7 linked regions of the Macaca fascicularis genome follow. The protein of the gene in region 5 purifies or fractionates together with the protein of the main gene of each other region. This does not show direct contact. Links are inferred from orthologs where the notes say so. Each region holds a gene or a part of one and is shown on either strand. Other genes may lie near its edges.

Region 1 (3,500 bases), on a different chromosome or scaffold from region 5:
AATCCAGACTCAGGGAGGCTTAGTCGATTCTGAGTCACAGATCTCAATGAGAAGCTCATCTCCTCAGAAAAAATGTATATGGCAACACACGAAATTCCCTAATTTTCACTGATCCCCTGAAGCAATCAACATAACCCTTTGGGGATCTGTGGGACCTGGGTTAAGACTCTGCCCTGGCCTAACCACATTTGGAGGAGGGACACAACCACTGGAAAGACTGCTGGGCACCACCGGCCACCCTGCCTACCCACAAAAGCTCTATCTCTCTTAAGGCGGGCCGGCTGAACACAGCCAGGGGCTCAGCTTGCTGGCTAAGCCAGGGAGAAGGACTGTAGAGTTAGGAACCAGACAAGAATGCAAAGCAAATGTAACCACTGCTTGTGGATTAAGGAAATTACTTGTTTGAAGAGATTAATTAAAGGCTATTCATAGTGAGCCAAATGAGAGCTGGCAGCTTCCTTTTCTCAGGAAAACAGTCAAGTGAAGCCTCTTTAACTGGGTTGGCATGTCCTGCAGCCTGGAAGCTGATGGACATGTATGAACTGGCCGAGGCTGCTGGGAGTCAGGCATCAGATGAATTCACACACCTGCTTTTATATATCCACAGTCACATCCATTGTGTTTACTGCTTTGCCACCTCCTTATTCTGCAACTGGCATTTCTGCTACCAGCTACAAGGCCCTTCTTGGGAAATTATAACCAGGTAAGGGGTTTTCTAACTCTTCTTCTGACAGCCACATGAAGCTGGTGAGGATAGGCATGAGCGAGAGGAAGGGGAAGGCTAGAAGGCACTTACTTTCTGCAGGCACTCCGTCTTCTCCTTCTTCTTGTTTCGGCACTTGGCGGCTGCAATCTTATTTCTTTCTCGCCGCCTCTTTTTCCTTTCATCTTCTTCAGGGGCTACCTATAAAATCCAAAAGGGACACATTTAAAGGGTAGTAAGAAATGCCACCTATCTCAAATACACTGCCTTTTACTGCCAGCAAAAGCTGGCAGACAAGGTCCAGTGCTAGCGCTAAAGGACCCCAAAAAAATAAAGCTCTAGACTTTTGTGTGAAAACCCCTACACACACACACACACACACACGTGAGTGAAGAATAAAAATCAAAGTTAAAATTATACCAGCAATATATTAGTAAAAGTTAGCCAATTTTGAAAATGCATTTGGATTTTGAGATGAGGATAATATGCAAATTGATAACTATTGGTACTAACTGTAATCATTTAAAGCTGAAACAGATTCTGTTTGGTAAACATCTCCTTTCTTTGGGAACCAGGAACGACCTCAGGATCATCACGTAGCCACCCTCTCCCGGCCTCTTCTTCGATTTAAGACCCAAGGGCAAACCCCATTCACCTCTGACTTCACCTGGAGCATCAGAGCACCAGCTTCCCAAATTTGGGAGAAGCCCATGATGCTCCTGCAGAGAAGGCACCTAAGCCCATTCCCAACCAAAGTGGCATTAATTGGCCCATGTTGGGGTGCCACCTGCAAGTGGTGAACTAGGACCATCTTTTAGGCCAGTCTCACTACTCCTTGCCCAAAGGCTGCAGTCATGCCAGTTTAGTAAGCGTGAAACACTTCCACTTGCCACCACGAGGAAAAGGCCAATAAAATGGTGGAACCTCAGTTCTGACATCCTTAAGCCACTATGACATCACCAGAAGCCACCTCCCAGACTTCTCACCATGTTTATTATTCCAGGGGTCTTATGCAAGGTTGCCAAGTGTGGAACAGTGCAAGTGTGTAAGACAGAAGTGAACTTGGAGCAACACCTGGTCCCAAGGCTGTGAACACTGCTACAGGGAAGGGTGGGGCAGGCTGCCTGCCTTGCTCTACTGTCTGGGTGCTTGGGTCCTAGTAGTGATACAAATAGGGACCACCACACTCCATGCTTCTTCAGAACAACTGGACACAGAAGGTGGCCTCATCCTGACTCATGGCTTTTAAGTGCCATCTATATGCTGATAATTTCCAACTCTATTATCTCTAGACCAGACTCTCCTCTGAACTCCAGACTCACATATTCAACTGCCTGCTTGACATCTCCACAGGGGTGCAGAATAGGACAGATCTCCTGCTCTTGCCACCACCCTAACCCCTATAATCCCAAATCTCAGCAGCAAATGGACGCTCCATTCTTACAGCTGTGCTGGCCAGAAAACTCAGTCACCCTTGAGTCTTCCCTTTCTCTCATACCCCACATCCAATCTATCAGCAAATCAGCTTTACCTTCAAGTCAGATCCAAAGCCAACAACTTCTCCGCACCTGCACTGCTCCCTCCTGATGCAGCCCCCCGCCACACCCACTCACGTGGATTCCTGCCATGGTCTCCTTTCTGCGCACTCAGCTTCTGTCTTGCCCCTGCTGCCCATTCTCAACATGACAGCCAGGGTGATCATTTAAAAATACAAATCAAGGCTGGGCATGGTGGCTCACGCCTGTAATCCCAGCACTTTGGGAGGCTGAGGCGGGTGGATCACCTGAGGTCAGGAGTTCAAGACCAACCTGGCCAACATGGAGAAACCCCGTCTCTACTAAAAAAATACAAAAAATAGCCAGACATGTGGCGGGCACCTGTAATCCCAGCTATTTGGGAGGCTGAGGCATGAGAATTGCTTAAACCTGGGAGGCAGAGGTTGCAGTGAGCCAAGATCATGCCACTGCACTCCAGCCTGGGTGCCAGAGCAAGACTCTATCTCAAAAAAAATGTACGTGTGTGTGTGTGTGTGTGTGTGTGTGTGTGTGTGTTGAATCTTGTTGCTTCTCTGCTCAAAACCCTTCTGTGGTTTCCCACCTCACTCTGAGCACAGGGCCACATCTATACAATAGTCTGTAAGACTCAATATGACCAGCCCCTATTTATCTCCCACCCCCATACTCTGTCCCACTGCACAGCCCACCAGGCACCAATACTCCCACCTCAGTGCCCTGAATTTCTTTTACCAGATACCCACATGACTTCTTCCCTCTCCTCTTTCCTTCTTCCTTTCCTTTTGACCTCTGCTCAAAAGCCACTCTCAGTGAATCCTTCCCTGACTTCCTAATTTAAAACAGCAACCCCGGCTGGGTGCAATGGCTCATGCTTGTGATCCCAGTGTTTTGGGAGGCTGAAGCAGGAGGATGGCTTGAGCCCAGGAGATTGAGGCTACAATGAGCTGTGATCACCCCACTGTACCCCAGCCTGGGTGATGGAGCAACACCGTCTCTAAAAGCAAAATGAGTCTTGTTCCATCACCCAGGCTGGACTACAGTGAGGTGATCATGGCTCATTGCAGCCTCAACCTCCTGGGCTCAAGCGGTCCTCCCACCTCAGCCTCTCAAGTGGATGAGACTACAGGCATGTACCACCTTGCCCAGCTAATATTTTTATAGAGATTGGGTCTCATTGTGTTGCCCAGGCTGGTCTCAAACTCCTGGACTCAAGCGATAATCCCACTATGGCCTCCCAAAGTGCTGGGATTACAGGCGTGGGCCACCATGCCTGGCCTGAAAAG
Region 2 (3,500 bases), on a different chromosome or scaffold from region 5:
TTAGATGGCTTGTCCCTTTCTTTATTTTTTAAAAATTTTGTCAGAGTTTGATGTATTTAGGTCATGGATTTGATTTCATGCATGCTATTTGTGTGTGTGTGTGTGTGTGTGTGTGTGTGTGTGTGTGTGTGTGTATGGTTGATCCTGGAATGGCTCTTGACTGTCCTCTCAGAGTTGATGAGTTTACATCTCTTAGAAAAATTCACCTGGTTGCTTCTGCAACTCTTTTCTCTCCAACAGCTTTGAACATTCTCGGGAGAGAAATAATTGTTTTTGTTGCCCTGAGATATTGTCAGTGTAACTTCATTCCTCTTGTGCCTTTGTTTCTCCAAAGATGAGCCAGACACCTCTGCATATGGTCTCCGCCATATGAACGTTTATCCAAGCATTGGCTTTTGTGGTAGTCTTGTTTCAGGTTTTTCCTGGTGAAATAATAGACTATCATTGTTGGATTACTCAAGGCTGTTTCTGTGACTATTTATTTGAAACTGAGAAAGAGGTGTTTCTGTGACTTACGTGTCTCCTAATTTGTGTGTCCTAAGTTGTTCCTCAGCCACAAAGTAGAAGTTTTTACCCCCATTTATATCATCTTGTCTTCTAGTACATTCATGTAGAAAGATGGAAGTACTCTCTCTCATGGAACAAATAATGAAAACTCATTTTTTTTCTCTTTAGTAATTTTTTTTTTTACCCCATGATGTTTTGAAAGCACTATAATCTGAAACTAAGTTATGTCCAAAATTGAATAGAACCTCTATTTCTGGGGTCTATTCTATCTCTGCATTAAACTCTTGCTCTGGGAACTGAGAGTTCCCTTCATGGCATCATAGGAAATAACAAAAAGGAAATGTGTTCCCAGGGGAGGTTTAATAATTGAGATGGCACTGGCAACAATGTTGTGTTCCACCTCCTCACACTCAGAGATGAATTTGGCAGTGTCAAAAATGATGTGTTTTCAATATTACTATGGGAATGTATTTGTACATTTGAGATCCTTTTAAAAAAATTCATATTGTGTCATCTGCATATGTATTTCAAGATTCATTGGAGATGCCTGGTAATGAGATGCATTGCTTTTATTTGTTACTGGAGAAATGGAGCTATAGAAAGGGGTAGTAATTTTGTCCAAGTGGAAGACCTAATTAGTAGTAGACCCAATAGCAAAATCAAAGGCCTCTGATTCTTTATTACTTCATAAGCTAAATTAGGCAAGAAAGTAGATTTAGGATATTTATTTAAATATATTTTTGTCTGCTTACCTCTTTTCATGCTATTGGTAAGTTTGAGGCAGTTGATTGTACAGTTTTAATTATCCTTTAAGCACTTTCCTTAGAGGTGGTGGAGGAAGGAAGAAAAATTGAGGTAGGTTTTTTGTTTGTTTGTTTGTTTACCTATACATCCCAGCCTGACTGATAATTTTATTCCTTTTCCCCCGGCATGTCTGATGCTTCTAATGAGGAAGGCAAGGACTGTATAGAATACTTCCCTCATCTCCCTTCTGTCTCTAGGAGCTTTGCAGCAGGATCTGGGGACATCTGAGCACCAGATGTTTTTCTTGGCCATAGCCACTGTTTTGTAGAGAATGGATAGGCTTAGTGGAACATTCCTCATTGTTCTCACTTTAAGAAACTGAACAGTGCTCTTAAGAGGACCGAAGGGCAAGGCATGAGAGAGGAAAGGGACTGTGTAGACAGGATGGAGGACTGGGCCATTTAAGCATTCTGGACGTTTTACGCAATAGTCATGTTGGGGAAGTATGCTGTATTTAATTCTGCAGTTTTGGCATAAATAGAGGAATGATATTTTTGCACTGCCCTTTCTGCCAGTGAGTATATACTTTTATTTTAGATAAAACAGGGGTCCTAGATCTGGCAGGTAAGGAATGTGCGTGTATTGAGGTCAGACCTAATTTTTGAAGAGCTGTATGTACAAATTTAATGTGAAATGGTCCAACTTTTAAATGTTAGCAACCAGTCCAAACAAAACAAAACACACTTCCCAGCCAAGCCCTAAAGGTAGTAACCAGCCAGGCTAATAGAAAAGAAGGTATGGAGCCAGGAATATCTCCGCTGTAGAACCTGCTAGGGCCATCTTGGAAAAATCAGTCATTAACCTCTGCTTCAGGTGGGTACCTATATTCTGCACCTGTCATGAGCCGAAATAGCATGACAATGAAATCTGGGATAGCTGTCATGATACAGTATTACTAGAAGGGGCACTGGATGGGGAGATACAGGATCCACATGTAGGAACAACCATGTCATTCTGGACCCAACTTTCTTTCTTTGTAAAAAGTTGATTTGGAATTACGAGGTCTGTAAGGAACATTGTTGCTTTAACATTCTATTATTACAGGATGTCTTATGCGGCCTATCAGGCATGAGACATTGTTGAGATTCTCTTGTCTCAAAGGTAATCACAGCATATCATATACCAAGGATGGGTTCTTTGGTTTTCCGCACCACTACTTGCTTGTTGGAAATAGTTGTATTTTCCCTTGCTTACTACATGTCCATCCTTCCTCTTATGTTATAGATTCGGTGGAAATACATGATAGTGGATGAAGGCCACCGAATGAAGAATCACCACTGCAAGCTGACTCAGGTCTTGAACACTCACTATGTGGCCCCCAGAAGGATCCTCTTGACTGGGACCCCGCTGCAGAATAAGCTCCCTGAACTCTGGGCCCTCCTCAACTTCCTCCTCCCCACAATTTTTAAGAGCTGCAGCACATTTGAACAATGGTTCAATGCTCCATTTGCCATGACTGGTGAAAGGGTACTGGTCTGACTTTTGTTTTTTCTACTGCATGACAATGACATGAAATGAAAGGCCCTAAAGCTGGGAACATTACTGCCACAGAACACCCGCAGGGTGGTTTACAATGTTGTTTATTTTATGAAACCCATTGGTGGGTGGACATGGTCTCGTGGTGGGGTTATTTTCCCCTCCTAGGAAAATGGATCTAGTGGTATACGGGGCATCTAATCCCTTTGTCTTTTGCCAGCATGTTTACCAGGCTACCAGAAAAGGGTCCTTACTGGTGGAACCAGTGGGCCACAGGGAGGATGAACATGGAGATATTTTGCTGAATTAATTTAACCAGACCAAATTAACAACTAAATACAAGCTTTAAACAAATCTTTCCTTGTTATAAACTTGGAGTTCCCTTTGAAATATTTCCACATGAAGAGTTTGTGTGTAAAACAGAACTAGTTTTCACTAATTTTCTGCACACTTTTTTTTTTTTTCTTTTTAGGTTTTAATGTGAGTTTCAGTTTTGTGTGTACATAAATTGTCTTCCTGGAGTAGCCATTTATTTTCCAGTTTCTTACTGTTCCTTCCACTGTCTTCTCTTAAGACCTCATTTATGAAAGGAAGACAATGAGCCGTTGCAAGAAAAGAACTGGGCCCATGTCATTTTCATAGTGGTTCCTCATTCATAGGAATGAAAAGCCACTAAAAATGCTTTAGTAAAATTTCAGTTTGAATTATTTCGT
Region 3 (3,500 bases), on a different chromosome or scaffold from region 5:
AGCAGTGACTCACCAAGCTTCTCTGGCTCATCGGGCCCTGTGCCCGCAATGCAGCTGCTCTCCAGGCCGTAGGTGGGATCCACTTTCCCAGAGGCTCGTGCTGCTTCTTGTACTTTCTTGACATGAGCTTCAACCAATTCCAGCGGTACCTCCTCCCGGACCCGAGAAAACTCCTCTGGTTCAAGAATAAAAATGGAACAGCAATCTAACTTTGCACAAAAATTTGCTTCAGTGTAAAACCACCATCGGGAAACCCAACACAATATTATTGTCTTAGGTGTAGCAACCTCTTCAGGCTCTCAGTCCCTCTACACCAGCAAAATGAGAGGACTAAATGAGATTTAAAAAAATAATAATGAAATTCTATGGCTCTACATTTTATCCTACACATCACAGAGCCTTGATATAAGAGATCTTTCAACTCATACCAGCAATAATCAAAACTGCTGTCCATATTTTAACTTTGCTTACTAGATTAATAAATCAAAAAAACAAAAACAGCAAGGATTAAACACCCATAAAACCAAGAAAGAGTTCTATGATGTGACGAAGTTCTAGTTATAATTAATGTGTAACCCATGAATATCAAATGACTTCCTTTGCTAGTTATACCAAATTATAAATTAATCACAAAATATACAATAAAAAACCTCTGTCCCTCCAATTCCTAAAGCTCTTAATTTTAAGACGCATTACTTAAAAATTTTGTAATACTTCCACAAAGAATATGGTATCTTTCACAGGTAATATCTGATTTTTGTTATTTACATTAAAAGAAATGAATGTAATGGCTGGTAATATTCAAATTGAGATAAACTGAGTTTTTCTGTTGAGGAGATGGTTTAGGGAAGTCCGTACCCAAAGCCGCTTTTGCTGCAGCAGATGCCACGCGAGGGTCCACCACAGATGCCAAAAAAGCAACAGTACTCATGACTGGATTTCCTGACTGACTAAAGGGGACAGGCTGGTAAGCCAAAGGCCCAAGGGAAGCATCTGAATTCTCAAGGTATGGGTCCTCAATGGGAAGTCTCAAAAAGTGGAGGATGCATTCATCCTGAGTACGACTTCCAACATGTTCCGACACTTTGTTCCAATCATCCTTATACATCTCCAGGGCCTAAAACAGAAAAAACAGATGCTTTAATGTCCAGTAACAAGAAAGTAATGTGTAATATTAGAAGTTCTTTATATAGCTTTTAAAAAAAAAAAATTAATGCAAATAGTTAAGCATAAATAGAAAGATTTGATGGCTTTCTTTATATTATTTTCAATCAGGCAAGAAAAATAAATAAAAGACATGCATACTATAAAGAAAGAAGTATTCCAAGCATGGTGGCTCACGCCTGTAATCCCAGCACTTTCGGAGGCAGATCACCTGAGGTCAGGAGTTCGAGATCAGCCTGGCCAATGACATGGTGAAACTCCCTCTCTACTAAAAATACAAAAATTAGCCGGGCATGGTGGTGTGTGTCTGTATTCCCAGCTACTCAGGAGGCTGAGGTGCAAGAATCGCTTGAACCCAGGAGGCAGAGGTTGCAGTGAGCCGAGATTGCATCACTGCACTCCAGCCTGGGCGGCAAGAGTGATAGAAAGAAAGAAAACAGGGAAGGAAGGGAGGGAGGGAGGGAGGAAGGGCTGATATTTTTACTAATATAGAGAGACATGACTGTTTATATAGAAAATTCCAAGGAAGCTATAAAAAAAAGTACTAAAACTAAACAGCTGAGCAAAGTCAAAGGATAGAAGGGCAATAAACTCAACTATATATCCATATATAATAGCAATGAAAAATTTTAAACATGAAGAAAAAAAGTATTTAAAGTAATATAAAAACTGGGTGTGGGGGCACACATCTGTAGTCCCAGCTACTCAGGGGGCTCAGGCGAGAGGATCTCTTCAGCCCAGGAGTTCAAGGCTAGCCTGACAAACACAGCAAGACCCTGTCTTAAATAGCATAATTAAATACTTAGGAGGAGGAATAAACATAATAAAGAATGTATAAGAGTAACAGACTGGAATGAGTAAAACATGAGAGAACTAAAAGACCCAAATAAAATAACGAAGAGATATATTGTGTTCATTCACCAGAAGTCTCAGTATTAAGATGTCAATTATTTCCAAGTAGAACTTTAGATTCAATACAATTCCAGTCAAACTCCAAGTAGGCTTCTTTTTAGTAGAAATTGATAAACTGATTCTAAAATTTATAAACTACATACATTTCTAGTTGTATAATTTATTATTTTTTCAGAGAAAATCCTGAAAGAAACCAACAAAAAGTTTAAAAGGAGTCTCCAAGGGAAAAATGGATAGAACAGTAGAAAGAAAACCACAACTATGTGGTGCTAAGAAAGTTGAGGAATTAATTGGATAACAAGAATTTATTTAGTGGCATACTGAAGTTGCTACTCTAACACCATTCTCTCCAGGACCATGGTTCTCAATGAAGAGTAATTTTTGCCCCCTTGAGGACATTGGCAATGTCTGCAAACATTCTGGTGGACCCAACTGGGGAAGTGCTGCTGGTATCTAAGAACAAGGAGGGGCCATATATGCTGTAAAACATATATGAACCCTCCACTCCAACAACAAAAAAACTAGCCCAAATGTCAATATTGAATGCTCCAACTGAAAAACCTTGCATTAGAGCCTAATTTGCTGATCTACACTGTGAGATTGAGCTTTCTATAACAATAGTTGTCTCCATGTTTTACTTTTTCAGTTAATTATTTTACTTCAAAGTTTGTTTGTTATTTTTTAATTTTTAGAGATGGGTTCTCACTATATTGCCCAGGATGGTCACGGACTTCTGAATTCAAACAATCTTCCCACCTCAGCCTCCCAAAGTGCTGAGATTACAGGTGTGAAATACTGTGCCTGGCCATCAATTAATTCTTAACTCTGGGTTCCAACTGCTGCTCAGGCTTTCATTTCTGCTGGAATAATATAGGACTTCTCAAAACCCAAGCCAGCAAACGGTCTGAGTCATTAAATCCCTTGAAACACTAGGCTAATTCTAGGTTTCCTCTGGATATTCAGTGACCTCTGGATATTCAGTAACCTCAGGTAGTTTCAGAAGGAATTACTTTTTGAAAGACCCAGATTGTAAGAAAAAAGAAAAATAAATCTATCTCACGCAGGTCCATGGAAGTAGAAATATATCTACTGGGGCTGTATTATGTTTCTAATTATAAATAGGGATTTTCTAGGCATGCTCTATCACGCCCTTTTCCAATGAAGTTTTTATTTTAAAAATATTTTTTCATGTTCCTTTCGCCAGGGAACAATAAGAAAGTTCAAGTTTTTTTTCCAGAATAAAGGTGGAGTTGGGGAACCTTCTGAGATACAAAATCCAAGCAAGAATCAGCATCCAGAAGAGCACAGAGTGGAGAATCAGTAAATGTCTGAGCCTGGGAACTGAGAGTAATGTTAGTAAGAGAGGAAAATAAAGAGATGTTTTGAAAAGAGAATACACTGGCCAGGAAGGAGAATGATTCAAT
Region 4 (4,145 bases), on a different chromosome or scaffold from region 5:
GACTACCTGATCTAACATGATCTAACAATTTACCAGACAAGAATGTATGTATCATTAAAACTCAAGTTTTCCAAAATACAAAAAGTTGGGTAGAAAAAATGTACATTATTCTTTGAAGAGTTAACGCTACCTATAGATAGATGTTTGATGTATGGAATATTTTTCAACCATACTCACAGAGCTTTCAGATCCTGAATACCAATAAAGAGTACCTCCACCCCCATTATTTGTTAAAATGCTGACAACCATTTCTACTATTTATTTATTTGAGACGGAATCTCGCTGTCACCCAGGCTGGAGTGCAGTGGAGCGATCTCGGCTCACTGCAACCTCCGGCTCACTGCAACCTCCGGCTCACTGCAACCTCCGCCTCCCGGGTTCAAGGGATTCTCCCGCCTCAGCCTCCTGAGTAGCTGGGACTACAGGCGCCACCAGGCCCGGCTAGTTTTTTGCACTTTTAGTAGAGACGGGGTTTCACAGTGTTAGCTAGGAAGGTCTCCTCACCTCGTGATCCCCCCGCCTCGGCCTCCCAAAGTGCTGGGATTACAGGAATGAGCCACCGCGCGCGCCCAGCCTCTATTATCTCAGCTTAAAAATAAAAAACAACGCCAAAGAAAAAAGTGCAGGAATTCCTGGGTTACATATTTAACTAATAATAATATAGTGCCCCAAATACGAAATAAACATTCGGATAAGGTATTTTAAAAAGGATTTTCAGGAAATGCACCCGGAGCTACAGAAGGTATTATATACCCTACACACACACACACAAAAGGTCCCTGAAAGCTCCTTCCTTACTGACAATTAAAATACATAACATCTAAGTTCTAAATTTCCACGATATTACATTTTAAATCATTTCTTAAAACTTAATGGCAGTAGCATTCTCTCAAAGCAAGATTAAACGTCTTGGAAAGGCAACATACACATCACGGCAAATTTGGAAGATTCTCAGAAATTCTTTTACACATCACGGTAAATCTGGAAGATTCCTAGAAATTATTTTACAAAGACGAGGATTCTTAACTATTACGCAACTACTGACGGCCTTAAAGATCCATGAACTTTCTTAATCTGCAGAGGGTATCTATTTTTAAAACGTATTTTACAAGGATGTTCCTATCATTTTGAAACAAAGTTTTTACGGTGGATTCCTCGAGTAAGAAAAAAAATGAATACATGATAAAACTGTTTCTGTGTTTGCACTTCAGGGCACTTAAACCTGTAGGTGTTACTTTTTAAAAAGCTTTTATAAAGCTTTACCTTCATAATTTTGATTCATGAGACCAAAGCTATATGGCTATTTAAAGATTAGAACGGCTGTTACTGACAATGATAACGCCAGTGGTCATGTTTCTTCAAATAGGACAAAAAGTGTGCTCAAAGGAAGTCAGTTTTTGTTCTGATTTTAAATGTATATCGTAAATGCATGCATTGTGACGTCTCCATAATTTAAAACCTCTAAGAAATTTAAACTTTCACATTATAATTTAGGGATTAGTCAATCCCTTAGTACCAGTTAAATAATAGCCAGGAAAGCATTAGAAAACCTGAAGGTACATGTAAAGAAATGCTTTACATCACTATTTAAAATAGGTGTTGAATTTTAAGAGAAACATTTCTTTCAGTAAAATTTCTGATGCCTGAGGTCCATCAGGAATAATCTCTTTTACTACATGATATTCACAGTAGTTTTGCTCTTGGCCTCACCAGTTTTAAGACTCTCCATTAAGGAAAGCCAATTTTATACTACCTAGGGGCACAAAAATAGTCCCCAGCTCCTCCTCTCTTTTTCCTCCTAGGTTCGGTTAAACGAGCGAACATGGAAAACACGTACACACACTCCCTTTCGGCCCTGGTTCCTAGGGCATGATGAAAAGCAAATTATTTCTTTACATAAGGTCTGCTGTCCACCCAAAGAGATTAAAAAAAAAATAGGGGAAAATACCAGAATCACTCTGCACCCACACCTAAGCCCCGCCCCACCGGGAAAAAGTGGGGGGTAGCGGGACTGTGAGGGTGGCGGAAAGGACGGAAAAGGCCGAGACTTGCAGCTCCCAGGTTCTTCACACCATTCTTTCCTTCAGGCTGCACCGCAGCCAGGGACCCTGATTCTATTTTCAGCCGCGCCTCCCGATCCTCCTCCCCGCCACCATCACAAATACACGGTCCTCAATCGCTTGAACACTGGGTGGGGAGACTAGAGTGGGCCCTCTCCCCGCCCAACCCAAGGACTGTGGGTGGGAGAGGTCTCCCTGCGCACACGGCTGACTCGACGCGCGCCCCGAGGACCTCTGAACTGACCCAAGCAGGGGGAAGATAAATCGGAGGGAGGGGTCTAAGAGGAGCCGTTATTCCTTTTTCCTCTGCCTTAGGAAAGCGCGCGAGAGGGAGGGGCCGGAACAACGAACCCTGGTTACCTAACGGTCCGGCCCAGCCAGTCAGTCTCCCAAAGCCCAAACCGCGCGGGCCGCTAAGGTGGCATCACAGCCACAATCGCCCCAAGGGCTAAGAAGCACGTCAGGAGCACCCGAGGTGATGGGAAACGGGGGGTGGGGACTGTGCTGAGCGACGTCGCCATGTTAGCACCTTCTTTCTCCGTATCCCTACAGTCTCCAGCCCTGCTGACCTCTGCCCATCATTACTCACCTTTCCAGGTCACTAGTTCATGATCCTTTCGGTCACTCGCGAGCCCCGAGCACAGCCGTGTTTACAAACCACCCCTGGACGAAAAGGCTGAACGGCACTTTAAAGGCCACGGGCTCCCACAGGCTTCCGTCCTCTCTCGCGAGATCGGACTGACAACTCTCCTCCCCCCCCCCCGACCCGCCCCGCTCCCGGCATCCCCCCCTTCCTTCTCGCGCCCCTCCCCTCCATGCTCACGCCCCGTCTTGCCTTCCTTCTGAGGGAGAGCCTCCGAGTCAGGTGATTCCGTCAGGCTTAAGGAGAAGAAGGCGGGTCTTCGGCAGGGCGGGTAGAGGGGACGGGCACCAAAGAGCACTCGGGCGCTCGTGATTGGGCAAGGAGCCCGAAGGGCGGGAAGCAATTCTGGAGGGGGCGGGACCAGAGGGCCCAAGGAGCGTTACCTCTGTAAACCCAAGGCTGTGGAAGGCTGTGATTGGCTGTCGGCTGGAGGAGGGGGCGGGTGCAGGCGGCGGAGGAGGGGTAGGCAGGGTGTTGGCGGTGTGAAGCGAGGATGGTGAGCTCCAGAAAGGCTGGTAGGGGGAAGCAGGATGGGTCCTCCGAGCCCAGCCCCAGGAGCCGGGTGTCTCCGTTGCCGTCGCTTCCCAGCACTAGGTAGGGAGGTGGGTAAAGGTAGGCTGCGTTCCTCAGCCTACCCCTGGCTCCCCGGGAGTCTGAGACGGGGAGCTTCGGGTTAGGTGAGGTTTGCGGGAGGCAGAGTTTGCTGGTAATTCCCCATCCCTACCCTCCAATAAACCTCACACAACTTAAAGATTTTAATATTAACTGTAGGGATGTTGGTTATTCAATAAATAGGCACAAGTTGAAAAGTATGATCAGAGGCCTCTGAAAATTTACTCAATAAAAGATTTTCAGTCTTTTATTTTTCCATTTATTAAATACTGATTTCTAGTCTGTAACAAAATTATGAACTAGTTTATATATTAACATAAAATACACTCTCAAAGTTGTTGAAAGGTTTTAGGGGATATTATAAGAGATAATGAGCCTGAAGTTCAAGAATGATATCTGGCATAAAGTGAAATTGTAATGGCATTGACATTTTCACAGGTAGGTCTCTGGACTGCATACATGTATATAAGCCAACTCAGTCCTCTTTTAAAACTAATTTTAGTTAAAAAACATTAAGCCAAATTATTAACACTTTCCTACTTAAAATGAAAGTGTTGTCCCCATATAGTAACAGTAATGTTGTAGTAGTGTCATTGTAGTGTAACACTATGTCAGCAAAACCTCACAGTTCAGATTACTGATGATGGAAATGGTGGACAAAATGTTTGATTGACATCACAGTTGTTAGGTCTAGAAAACATTGATTAAAATGATGCTTCTCTCTCCATCTCCCAAAACAACTAATGTGAGAAAAAGAATTAGAAATGTTACGACATTTCAAAAGAAGTTTGGGTCAATTAGAATAGATTTTTTAAAAAATTATTTTTCCA
Region 5 (3,732 bases):
CAACTACACTTACTAAAAGCATCTGCCCTGACTCGGGCTCAGCAGGACCAAGACCTGAACCCCTCCTCCTACAGTCACAGGCCTGCCTATCTAGTCCCCAAACACAGGGCAGGGGTCACAGACCTCCCAGCCCTTCCAAACCCAAGCCTGACACTCGGGACCAGTCAGAGGTCCCGGAATCTCTTCTCAAGCAGGGTTCCCAGCCACCGGTCCCGGCGCCCAGGAGCTCTGAGTTAGCCCGAAAGCCTGACCCATTACTCTTCTCCCCTTTCCCCCAGGGCTGGAACCCCATCTCCAAGCAGACCCTGTGGGTGGGGGGAGGGTGTAGCAGAGGAGGCAGAAAAACCAGCTGCAACACCCCCACCAACCACCAAAACCTCCAAAAATAACAGCAGCCCCCCACACACAACCCACTACACACCAGAAACGCAAAAACAAAATCCTACAAATCCAAAATAAAGCAAAAAAAAAACAAAAGCCAATTACTGCCCCCAAAAGGCTTTGTAACCATTCTCAAAAAAAAGTTTATTAAAAGTGTTCTTACTTAATGCTTGAAACGGAAGATTCCCAAAATATACAGACGCCTCTTTTCTCATAGAAATAGATTATTTTTTATAATACAAAAAAAAAGACCAAAAAACAAAACAAAACAAAACATCAACAGCAACAAGCCCGTAGGAACATCTTTAAGCGATTACTCAGGGCCCGGCTGACAGTTACACGTGGGTTGCGTCAGTCCCGTGTACACACGCGTTCAGCCATGTTTAAACCGATTGCATCAACTTCGAAACCGGCCCGCCCGCCGGCGCCTGGAGAGGGGCAGAGGGAGAGGCAGAGAGTTTATCATTCATCTGTACACATAGACGTTTCTTCTTTAAATAACACCACGGGCGGGCGCCCCATCTGCATGTGCGGTTGGTTTGGACAAAAATATAGATATATATATATAATAAAATATTAAAATTACCGACGGGCTCCCCGCGCTGCCAAGTGCCCCAGTGCCAAAGTTTTGCCGGCGCCGCCGGGGGCGGAGGCGGGGGCGCGGGCGCGGGCGCTTCCCGGAGTCTCGGCCCCGGCCGGCAGGGGGACGCGCGCGGGGGCCGCGCTAGCAGTGGCCGGAGGAGGCGAGCAGGGGCTCGGGCAGCTGCTTGAACAAGTTCCGCAGGGTGCTGAGCTCGCGCGACAGCTGCTCCACCTTCTTCTGCAGCCGCTCGTTCTCGGCCGTGAGCTCCAGGACCTTGTGCTGCGTCTCCAGGTTGCGCATCTTGGCCTTGTCGCGGCTCTTGCGCACGGCGATGTTGTTGCGCTCGCGCCGGATCTTGTACTCGTCGCTGTGCTTGTCCACTGTCTTCTTGGCCTTGCTCTTGACCTGCGAGGGCGGCGGCGCGGCCCCCGCGTAGCAGGCGGCCGGGGGCGCCTTGGCGTCGGCGGGGCTCGGCGTGCCGGGCGGGCTGGACGACGAGGACGTGGAGAGGCTCCCGCTGCTGCCGCTCGGCACCGCCTGGTAGCCGAGGTAAGCGCGCAGCGCGTACGGGAAGCCCGCCGCCATGCCTGCGCCGCCGCCCGGCGCCCCGGCCTCCTCCTTCCGCTTGCAGTCCGCGGGCTCGAAGCCCGGCTCCGCCTTGAGCTCGGCGGGCGGCGGCGGCGGCGGGGGTGGCGGGTGCAGGGGCGCGAAGCAGCCGGGGTGCAGCGCGCCCTTGGCGGCCCCCAGGCGCCCCAGGCTCACGTAGCCGTACTCGGCCGGCTTCTTGCAGTTCTTGCCCCCGTAGTCGTCGGAGAAGAGGTCGGAGAGGAAGTCGTGGTGCTGCCCGGAGGAGGCGGGCGCGGGGGCGGGCGCGGGCGGAGCCGCCTCGAAGGTGTCCGTGGCCGTGGCGGGCGCCGGGGCCTGCGGCGCGCCCAGCGGCTCCAGGTACGGGCTGAAGTCGATGGCGCGCTCGTGGTCGCCGATGCTGCCCAGCTCGCCGGCTGGGGGGCGCGGCCCGGGTCTGGCCGCGGGGGGCGCCGCGGGGGCCGCCTTGCCGCCGTACGCAGCAGCCAAGCAGTCCGCCTCGTAGTAGAAGTTGGCCACTTCCATGGATTTAAAGGCAGGCGGCGGCGGCAGGGGGAGACATGCTGGGTCCCAGGCCACCAGGCGTTGCATGAACGCGGGTGCCCGGGGAGGGGGCCTGGGGCTGCCCGCTCCGGCCGGCCCGCAGGTGGCGCGGCCTCCCTGCTCTGAGCTGTCGCCGCTGCGTCGCTGCTGCTGCCGCCGCTGCCGGGGTGGCCGCTATTAGTGCGGGGGCTGGTGGCTGAACCCTCGGGTGGGTCCCCTTCCCAGTCCCGTGCGCGGCTCTGACTCGCTAAAGTTTCTCCTGAGCCCGGTTATTTATAAGGGCGGCCCGTAGCAACCGCTGCGTCACACCGGCCCCTCCCGCCGCGCCGCCGGGACGCGAAGGACACGGCCGCGGCCGCCCGAGACCCCCAGGAGGACGGCGGCAGGGCGCAGCGGAGGACCGGGCACCCGGAGCGCGTTTTCGGGGGGGGTCCCCGGGCCGCAGGGGGCGACCTCACGCCCCCTGCCCACCCCCGCCCGGCCGCCCCGGGATTGGGAGCGAGAGGGGGCGGTGCGACCCCGCCCCCAGACCGCCCCTCTGGGCTGGAGGCTGTCCTGGAAGGCGGGGGAATCGGAGGAGGGGGCGACCTGATCGCCTTCCCCCGGAGATGCGGCCCCGGCCCGCCCCCTGCTGGAGGAGGCGGAGGTTTCAGGAGGACCGAGCAGAGCCCCGACGGCGGACCAGGGGCCGCTCCCCGGGCGGAACCCTGGAGACCCCAGCCCGCAACTCTAGCTCCAGGAGAAGCGACCCATCTCCGTAGCCCTTCCCCCTAAACTCCCACCTCTTCCCCAGGTCCCCGGCTCTAGAAAGGAGTAGACTCCACGCCTGTGACGATTCCCCTCTTAAGCCACCGCCAATATGAGGACCCCGGGGGTCGGGGGGACGGAGCAGGATCGCGCTGCGCTGGGGGCTGGACCCTGGTCCACGGTGTCCCGCCCCTAGCCCCGCCCACCGCACCTGCCGCCTGCTTGCGGCTTGTACACACCCGGGTCTTCTCTTGCCCCGCGCCGCGCCATCCGACCTGGGCCCTGGGATGGTGCAGGGGCGGAGGGGTGCTGGGCCCTGCCACACTGTGTGACCTTGGATGAGTCACTTCTCCCAGCTGCAGTCCATGAAGGGTGTCGCTACTGTCAGCGGTGGTGGCATTGCTCCCACCAGACTCCCAAACCTAAGGCTTACGTTGTGGGCTGCACATCAGAGAGAAAGGGACCCCCATGGATTGTGCCAGTGGAGGCCCAGAGGGAGCATGGCATGGCATACCAAGGTCACATGGCCGCATGTCCCCCATTCATCCCAAACGAAATGCCCTCATCTGGGCCCTAAGACCTATTGCCAGCCCCAGAGGCCAAAAAGCTTCTGTTTCTGAAGCTGCTGGGGAGGGGCTTAAGCCAGGCCTCACGGGAGGGGGGTGGCATGCAGGAAACAGAGAAGGAAAGAGAAAGAGAAGTTTTTACCAAGTCCCTGCCCTGTGCTCAGGGTGGGCCTGGACCCCGAGGTTCTTTTTCACCCCACCAGGAAGATGCTTTTGCTGCTGCCGTTTCACAGATGGGAAAGTGACAACGGCCTGCCTGGACTTGAACACAGACCCAAGGCCCTCTAACTACCGGCCCGCCTCTGCTCCCTAGGCTCAGGTTAGAGG
Region 6 (4,175 bases), on a different chromosome or scaffold from region 5:
TAGCTGAATTCTGATGGTAAATTATGCTGACCAAAAACAGTTCCTCACTTCCCAAGTTAGACATAGCAATTAGGTAGAAAAATAATCTAAGCAAGCTCCATTTGTATTTCTTTTTTCACGTGTTTATTGAATATTTACCTCCCATAAAGTCTTTCAGCCTGTTGGTGGTATTTTACTGTTCAGATATATGTTAGAATTTCACTGATACTGGGTGCGGTGGCTCACACCTGTAATCCTAGCACTTCGGGAGACGGAGGTGGGCGGCTCACGAGGTCAGGAGTTCAAGACCAGCCTAGCCAATATGGTAAAACCCTGGTCTCTACTAAAAATACAAAAATTAGCCGGGCGTGGTGGTGCGCAACTGTAGTCCCAGCTACTTGGGAGGCTGAGGCAGGAGAATCACTTGAACCCAGGAGGCAGAGGTTACAGTGAGCCAAGATTGCGCCACTGCACTCCAGCCTAGGCAACAGAGCAAGACTCCGTCTCAAAAAAAAAAAAAAAAAAAGAATTTCACTGATACTTTTCACAAAATATACAGAAGGCGGCACAAATTCCACCACTATGGCACTCTGCCGCCTTGGGCAAGTGTCTTGATCCTTTGGCCTCAATTTTCTTATCTACAATATTAGAGTAATTGTTATGTGAACTACCTACCTCACAAGTCCTTTGTGGGTCAATTCATAACTGTGCTGTGGGTATTTCTTTTTCTTTCCTTTCTTCCTCCTTTCCTTTCCTTTCTTTCTTAGAGACGGGTTCTCATTATGTTGCCTAGACTAGACTCTAGACCCAATTCCTGGCCTCTCACCATGTTGCCCAGACCAGACTCAACTCCTGGACTCAAGGAATCCTCCGGCCTCAGCTTTCAAGTAACTGGGATCAGAGGTGTGCACCACCATGCCTGGCACTGTGGATATTTTTAAGTGATTATTCTTCCCAAATGAACTACATAAAAAACAAAAGATTCATGAATTTACTAATGGTTCTTTGTGATGGATGTGCTAATACAGAGACTAAAATCAAGGCTCCAACCTCTAAAACATTTTTTTTTTTTAATTCCAGACTTGTTTCCCCATCCCACTGTGCAAACTGAACAAAAACTGGGCTAGCACTCCCGTCTGGAACATGTAATAAGGAAATAAATGTGCTGACTCAGAGAACACAGACATATTTAATATAAAATAAAATAGAAAACTGGCTGAATCAAGTCATAGCACAGTCTAAATCCACATATAAAAGATTGAGATGATTTTCTGCTTTGCTTTATTCAAGCCCAATGCTTTATCAGCACAGCCAGCCAAAAATTTACAACCCATGCACAGACTACGTAAACCTTTAGTTGCACATACAGTAAGACCAGCAGGTACACACTATACACATTTTTAACAAAAAACAATGACTAACCACTGATTTTGTCACCACACTTACAACGACCTGATATGGCACAGGGTGATGTGTATCAAACATGGAAATACCAACTTGGGCGACGGTTTGAATCTTGTTAACTTCAGTGCAACCACACCCCCCTAAATGCAGGTAAACTTAGCACACATGGTTTTGTCAAGGCCAGCCTGTCTTTGTTTCCCTCTCCTCTGCATTTACCCAAGATCTTGGCTCTGAGACACAGAACTCCCACTCTCGATTGGTTCATTCCGTCCTATGCAATTAAGCAACACCACAATCCAGTAAACGCAATGGCTCAATTATTTATCTTCTGGCCGACTTTACCAGGTATTTGGAAAAGAACATTGCCAAGAGATTTATTTATCTCTCTAGAGCTGGCTTGACGGGTTGACGGGGATTTTGTCTTTTTTTCCCCTCTTTTTTACATGGCGGGGGCGTGAGGGGAGCATAGTTTAACCTAGAAAAAGATGGAAGGGAATTTAGAAAGAGTACCGGTCTGTCAATTTCCCTACAGGAAACTTGATTCTTATGCAATAAAGCCTACCCGCGACCAGCCAGCCCGTGAGGCTGCAGGGGACAGACACACCTATTCCTGCCTCCAGAAGGGCACAGCTGGCTCCTGAAGGAGCGGGAACAGGGCAAGCGGAGGAAGTGGCTCAGAGGGAGCCGCCGGCCAGGCGGGGAGGAGGCGCTTTCCGACCCCCACCCGCGCCGGTGATCCCCGCCGGCGTGACAGTCGCTCCGGCGGCCGGAACGTCCCCAGGGCTCCAGGGAGCAGGAAATCGGGGGACTGTCCCTCACTCCTGCCGCCGCAGCCGAGTGCGCCCTCGCCCCACGGTGCCCCCTCGGGCGCGTTCTCACTGTTTCTCCGAAGAACGAAACTTCCCTCCAGCGCCCCGAGTCCCTTCCGAGGCCCGCTCCTGTCATCCCGAAGAGTCTTCCCTCAGGGCGACCCTCCGCGTCTCCTCATCTCTCCCCGCCCCACTGCAGCGTCCATCACAAAATCCCCAAGGTCCCAGAGGCCCCCAACCGCGGCGGCGCCCCCAGGTCCCCAGGCCTCCCCGACGGCCCCACCCTGCACCCCCTTCACCTGTTTCTCCAGCAGAGGCCGAGAGGCCGGGGCTGCGCGTGCGCCGGGGGCGGGCGACGGGGCTCCCTCAGGCCGGAGGGCTTATCCGAGCCGAGGGGGAGAGACAGCGCCGAGCCGGGGTGCCTGTCCAGGATCCGGTTGGGGCTTGTTCCCTCGGCTGCTACGTCGGAACCCCCGGCTCCCCCTCCCGGTCTACGCCGCCGCAGCTCCGGAAACCGCTGAATTACAGCCCCTTCAGCCAATCCCCGCCCAGCCCCAGCCTGGCCGAGGCACGCCGTCATGCATAATTCATGAACGGCCATTTCGCTCGGCCACCCAGAGGTCCCAGTGCGTGTGCGGTACCGACAAAGCCCCGCCCACTGACCAATGAAGAGAGCAGCTAGGAGAAAGGGCGGAGCCAAGAGAAGACTGATACGGCCCTGTGCTGGCTGTTCCGACAGTTCGGTGCTCCTCCCTCCGCCACAGCGAGGGAAGAGCCGAGGACTTGGGCACAGAAGCCCGGGGGGAGGGAGGGAAGATGACCGGAATGTCCTGCTGAAAACTCAGCTGAGTTCCTGGCAGTGCGTGACGTCAAGGCACTTTAAATGCCCCTGATACAGCTCCCTCCTGTCCGCTCTCCCTTTTCCCGGCCCTTGGCACCACGTGGTGGCGAGATTGAGAGCCTCTTACCACGTGGGAATCAGCCAGTTAGACAGTCCCCAGGTATCTCCAGATCCTCTGGGGACCCAACACCTGAATTGGGTTCTGGGGACAACAAAAAGAACATGAGTGACTCCGCCTGCTTTGAACTTCAGTTTCTGCGTGAGCAGGGACACACACACCCGGAAACATGACGTGGAAATAGAGTAAATACTAGAGTGCGTGGGGAGAAATAGTAGATTTAACCCCGTCCTCCGTTCCATCACTTCAAGCATCAAACTCCGACCAGCTAGCCCATTGGCCGGTACAGGCGAATGCAGAAGACGGTGTATACGAAAGTTGATACGTGTAGGGCTTGACATTTTTATGCGTCTGAATTGAAATACATGAAATGTTCCGCCTTTTTCGTTTCCACCTTGCCTACTTGGTATGCAAGTTTTGCTGAATTGAAGCCAGTGGTTCATAGGAAATGTAGACATTTTGCCTTTCATAATAGAGGATGAACTTTGCATAATGGAGTGATTTCTGTGTATGTGCTGATACTATCAGGGTTTTTAATTTTTATTTTTTTAGGGTCTTTAAAAATATGTTATTAATATTTGTGTTTGTTTAATACGAACCGGTATAAAGACAAAAATCTATAAAGGACCCATTATCTCACTGCTCAGATAACCCCTGACATTTTTTTTTTCAATGAAACTAATACATGTTCCTGTTTAGAAAATGCAGACCGTTCAGAAAGGTAAAAAATTTTAAATGAAAATCTTTCCCTACCCCCATCATTCCTTCTCCCCAGGGATAGCTATTCTTATTAATTTGTAGTGAGAAAAATCAATGACTCTTAACCTTTGAAGGGAGTCACAGATCCTTCTGAGTGTTTGAAGGAGACTAGATTCTAGCCCCAGAAACAGCACAAGCTTTCACTCACATGGTTCTCCAGATACCTGAAACCCGTCTAACGTCTACAGATTCAGACCATTCATACCACCTCATATCCAACGAGGGACAGAGGCACCTACAGGGCAATTCATAGGGTCACTGGTGC
Region 7 (3,500 bases), on a different chromosome or scaffold from region 5:
GCTTCTTAGGAGTCATTCAGAAGTACAGCACCCTTGGCTGGGTGTGTGGCTTAACACCAGTAATCTCAACACTTTGGGAGGCCAAGGTGGGAGGACTGCTCAAGCCCAGGAGTTTGAGACCAACCTGGGCAACATGGTGAGACTTCACCTCTACAAAAACTAACCGAAAAATTAACTAGGTGGCCAGGAGCAATGGCTCATGCCTATAATCCCAGCACTTTGGGAGGCCGAGGCAGGTGGATGGCTTGGGCTCAGGAGTTCGAGAGCAGCCTGGGCAACATGGAGAAACCCTGAGTCTACTAAAAACACAAAAACCAGCGTGGTGGCTCACGCCTGTAATCCCAGCACTTTGGGAGGCCAAGGCAGGAGGAACACCCGAGGTCAGGAGTTCGAGACCAGCCTGGCCAACATGGTGAAACACCATCTCTATCAAAAATACAAAAATTAGCCAGGCGTGGTGGCACATGCCTGTAATCCCAGCTACTCGGGAGGCTGAGGTGGGAGAATCACTTGAACCTGGAAGGCAGAGGTTGTAGTGAGCCAAGATCGTGCCACTGCACTTCAGCCTGGGCTAGAGTGAGACTCTGTCTCAAAAAAAAAATAAAATAAAATAAAAAAAATAACCCCAGCATGGTGGTGCACACCTGTAATCCCAGCTACTCAGTGGCTGAGACAGGAAAATCACTTGAACCACAGAGCCAGAGGCTGCAGTGGGGCGAGATAGCATCACTGCACTCCAGTCTGGGCAACAGAGTGAAACTCTGTTTCAAAAAAAGGAAAAATTCACCAGGTGTAATGGTGCACGCTTATACTCCCAGCTACTCAGGAGGCTGAAGTGGGAGGATGACATGAGCCTGGGAGGTCAAGTTTGCAGTGAGCTGTGATCTCTCCACTGCACTCCAGGGTCTCACTAAGAACAGTACCCTCAGAAATAGACCCATGCGGGACAGCACATGGTGGCTCATGCCTGTAATCCCAGCACTTTGGGAGGCCGAGGCAGGCAGATCATTTGAGGTCAGGAGTTTGCGACCAGCCTGGCCAATATGGTGAAACCTTGTCTCTACTAAAAATATAAAAATTACGCATGGTAGCACACACTTGTAATCCCAGCTACTTGAGAGGCTGAGGCAGGAGAACTGCTTGATCCCGGGAAGCGGAGGCTGCAGTGAGCAGAGATTGTGCCACTGCACTCCAGCCTGGGTGACAGAGCAAGACTGTTTCCCAAAAAAAAAAAAAAAAAAAAAAGGGAAAGGGAGGAAAAGAAAAGGAAGAAAGAAGCCCTTGCAAGTCTGCTTCAAGAGGCAAGTGCTTTAGGGTAGAGAGGTCCATGTCTCCAGCACTGTGCAGGACGCAAGAGGAAGGTTCTGCAGTGAATGAGTGCCCATGGGTGGCCACAGCTGCTTTTCACAGCCCAGGCAGGTGTAATACCAGCCCAGCAAGCCATACTTGGAGGCTTAACAGCAGTGTTGGTGACAAAGGCCCTTCCTGGAAAGCTGCGGCCGTGCCGGCACCCACCTGCCTCTGAAAGTTCAGCAGCCTGAGGGCCTTGAGCTCAATGGTCGCTTTGGTTCGCAAATCCCCGGCCAGGGACCCGGGAAGGTTTTCAAGTTCCTGAATTCGGTGTGCAATGCGAGCCTGCAGCCTGGGGGCAGAGAAGAGAAGGAGCAAAGGCAGTGAGAGGCTTGCCAGGGCACCCGGTTATAGCTGGAGCTGCAGGGGACCCATCCCTCAAGGAAGGAAGGTGCTGGTCATGAGGCAAGAGATGCCTCAGAAGAGGATGCTGGCCGCAGGGCAGAGCAGAGAGGGAGGCAGCCAGGGACACTCCTCAGGACCGGGCCTCAGGGGGCAGCAAACAAGATTCCTGATAGGCGCGCCCAGTTCATGCCTGTTCAGTGGTGTGAGCCAGGTTCTGGCATCAGGTGGGCCGGGGTTTTCATGCAGCCCTGGCATGGATGAGGCACAGGGCCGTGAGAATCTACTTCACCTGCACACCTCAGCATTCTCATCTCAAAACTGAGGCGACCCCTTGGAGAGACCCTAGAGGTGTGGTCTGAAGATTACAAAGGTTACATAGGAAGGTTATGTGAACTAATCCTCTTAATCAGTCTTTCCGCACATACTCATTGAGCACCAACTGTATGCCAGGGACCATTTTGAGCGCAGGGCCTTACCACTAAACAAGATCAGCAAGTCAAGGAACTCTCAGCCTCATTAGAAAAAACAGTCCATAACAGAGATTTAAAAAAATAAAATAACCACTGCAATTCCAGAGAGTGGCTGGAAGTGACGGGAAGGGCCTCCATAAGGAGGGAATCCCAGCAATGAGGCCTGAATGAGTAGAAGGAGCCAGCACGGCCTGTGCAAAGTTCCTGGGGCAGGAAAAAGCCTAACTTATTAAATAAATGAAAAGAGGAACAGAGAGAGTGGGGTGGGTGAGGAAGGATGCTGGGCAGGAGTGGACATAGGCAAAGATTATTGGGCAGATAATTGGAGTTACAGGCAGGTTTTAATCTAGGGAGTAGATCTGACGTCAATCAATCGTGAAAAGAGAACTCAGGCCAGGCGACGTGGCTCACGCCTATAATCCCAGCCCTTTGGGGGGCCAAGGCAGGCAGATCACCTGAGGTCAGGAGTTTGAGACCAGCCTGACCAACATGGAGAAACCCTGTCTCTACTAAAAAAATATAAAATTAGCCAGGCGCAGTGGCGCATGCCTATAATCCCAGCTACTCAGGAGACTGAGGCAGGAGAATCGCTTGAAACCGGGAGATGGAGGTTGTGGTGAGCTGAGATCGTGCCATTACACTCCAGCGTGGGCAACAAGAGTGAAATTCCATCTCAAAAAAAAGAGAATTCAGACTGCTGTGTGGGAAACAGACCGCAGCCAGAGTGGGAGCAGGGAGGTGAGGAAGGAGGTGTAGGCCAAGTGGCAGCGGTGGGCACAGGGCACTGTTTCCTAAGGCGGGGGAGAAAGTTGAGTGGCTTCCCCAGGGGGACATATGGGACATATGGGAACTGGGGCTACGCCCTCACCTGTACTCGCGCTCCTGCAGGATCTCCACAGGGTCGAGGCCCCGCGGCTTCTGGATGGGGGTGATGCGGCTCTGCTTCTGGTGCAGCGGCACCATGGGTGCGGGCTGGGCCGGCTGCCCGGGGGACTGGGTCTGGGGTGGCATCACAGGCGAGGCGGCAGGTGGGACGGCAGGGGGCGCAGGGGAAGGGCGACCCGTTGGCTGCGGGGGGATCAGTTTCTGAGGGGTGCTCGTGGGGGCAGCAGCATTCGCCATGGGTCCTGGGAGGAGGCAAGGAGCCAGGGTATCGTGTTGAGCTCTGGGGCCCATCCAGGCTGGAAACAGAAAGCTGCTGGGCTGCTCGAGGCCCTGGGGACAGGCAGACCCCGCCCATCTCCCACCTCTCACCTAGGGGTGTCCCTCACACCCGCCTTGGGCGCCAACCTCCTCCAGATCTCAGCCTCACCCTTGTCCCTCACACCCTTCACT

The links.
Region 1: the proteins of CEBPB (region 5) and ATF3 purify together in Homo sapiens (affinity purification with western blotting; 3 studies listed by BioGRID and IntAct, with this or other methods). This does not show direct contact. The link is inferred for Macaca fascicularis from reciprocal best matches to the Homo sapiens genes CEBPB and ATF3.
Region 2: the proteins of CEBPB (region 5) and SMARCA2 purify together in Homo sapiens (affinity purification with western blotting; 5 studies listed by BioGRID and IntAct, with this or other methods). This does not show direct contact. The link is inferred for Macaca fascicularis from reciprocal best matches to the Homo sapiens genes CEBPB and SMARCA2.
Region 3: the proteins of CEBPB (region 5) and SMARCC1 purify together in Homo sapiens (affinity purification with western blotting; 3 studies listed by BioGRID, with this or other methods). This does not show direct contact. The link is inferred for Macaca fascicularis from reciprocal best matches to the Homo sapiens genes CEBPB and SMARCC1.
Region 4: the proteins of CEBPB (region 5) and ATF2 purify together in Homo sapiens (affinity purification with western blotting; 3 studies listed by BioGRID and IntAct, with this or other methods). This does not show direct contact. The link is inferred for Macaca fascicularis from reciprocal best matches to the Homo sapiens genes CEBPB and ATF2.
Region 6: the proteins of CEBPB (region 5) and STAT3 purify together in Homo sapiens (affinity purification with western blotting; 3 studies listed by BioGRID, with this or other methods). This does not show direct contact. The link is inferred for Macaca fascicularis from reciprocal best matches to the Homo sapiens genes CEBPB and STAT3.
Region 7: the proteins of CEBPB (region 5) and SMARCA4 purify together in Homo sapiens (affinity purification with western blotting; 3 studies listed by BioGRID, with this or other methods). This does not show direct contact. The link is inferred for Macaca fascicularis from reciprocal best matches to the Homo sapiens genes CEBPB and SMARCA4.

Annotation. Positions count from the first base shown.
Region 1 is NC_088375.1:70,419,775-70,423,274, reverse strand, and holds part of ATF3 (cyclic AMP-dependent transcription factor ATF-3), read right to left. Parts: intron 905-3,500; coding exon 797-904; intron 1-796.
Region 2 is NC_088389.1:97,065,529-97,069,028, reverse strand, and holds part of SMARCA2 (probable global transcription activator SNF2L2), read left to right. Parts: intron 1-2,535; coding exon 2,536-2,778; intron 2,779-3,500. UniProt on the Homo sapiens protein: ATPase involved in transcriptional activation and repression of select genes by chromatin remodeling (alteration of DNA-nucleosome topology).
Region 3 is NC_088376.1:110,591,731-110,595,230, forward strand, and holds part of SMARCC1 (SWI/SNF complex subunit SMARCC1), read right to left. Parts: intron 1,118-3,500; coding exon 859-1,117; intron 176-858; coding exon 14-175; intron 1-13. UniProt on the Homo sapiens protein: Involved in transcriptional activation and repression of select genes by chromatin remodeling (alteration of DNA-nucleosome topology).
Region 4 is NC_088386.1:70,725,901-70,730,045, forward strand, and holds the start of ATF2 (cyclic AMP-dependent transcription factor ATF-2), read right to left. Parts: upstream 2,801-4,145; 5' UTR 2,650-2,800; intron 2,511-2,649; exon of another isoform or gene 2,421-2,510; intron 1-2,420. UniProt on the Homo sapiens protein: Transcriptional activator which regulates the transcription of various genes, including those involved in anti-apoptosis, cell growth, and DNA damage response.
Region 5 is NC_088384.1:106,283,149-106,286,880, reverse strand, and holds CEBPB (CCAAT/enhancer-binding protein beta), read right to left. Parts: upstream 2,342-3,732; 5' UTR 2,141-2,341; coding exon 1,106-2,140; 3' UTR 501-1,105; downstream 1-500. UniProt on the Homo sapiens protein: Important transcription factor regulating the expression of genes involved in immune and inflammatory responses. Also plays a significant role in adipogenesis, as well as in the gluconeogenic pathway, liver regeneration, and hematopoiesis.
Region 6 is NC_088390.1:63,447,410-63,451,584, forward strand, and holds the start of STAT3 (signal transducer and activator of transcription 3), read right to left. Parts: upstream 2,801-4,175; 5' UTR 2,794-2,800; coding exon 2,492-2,793; intron 1-2,491. UniProt on the Homo sapiens protein: Signal transducer and transcription activator that mediates cellular responses to interleukins, KITLG/SCF, LEP and other growth factors. Once activated, recruits coactivators, such as NCOA1 or MED1, to the promoter region of the target gene.
Region 7 is NC_088393.1:11,557,530-11,561,029, reverse strand, and holds part of SMARCA4 (transcription activator BRG1), read right to left. Parts: intron 3,347-3,500; coding exon 3,034-3,346; intron 1,643-3,033; coding exon 1,516-1,642; intron 1-1,515. UniProt on the Homo sapiens protein: ATPase involved in transcriptional activation and repression of select genes by chromatin remodeling (alteration of DNA-nucleosome topology).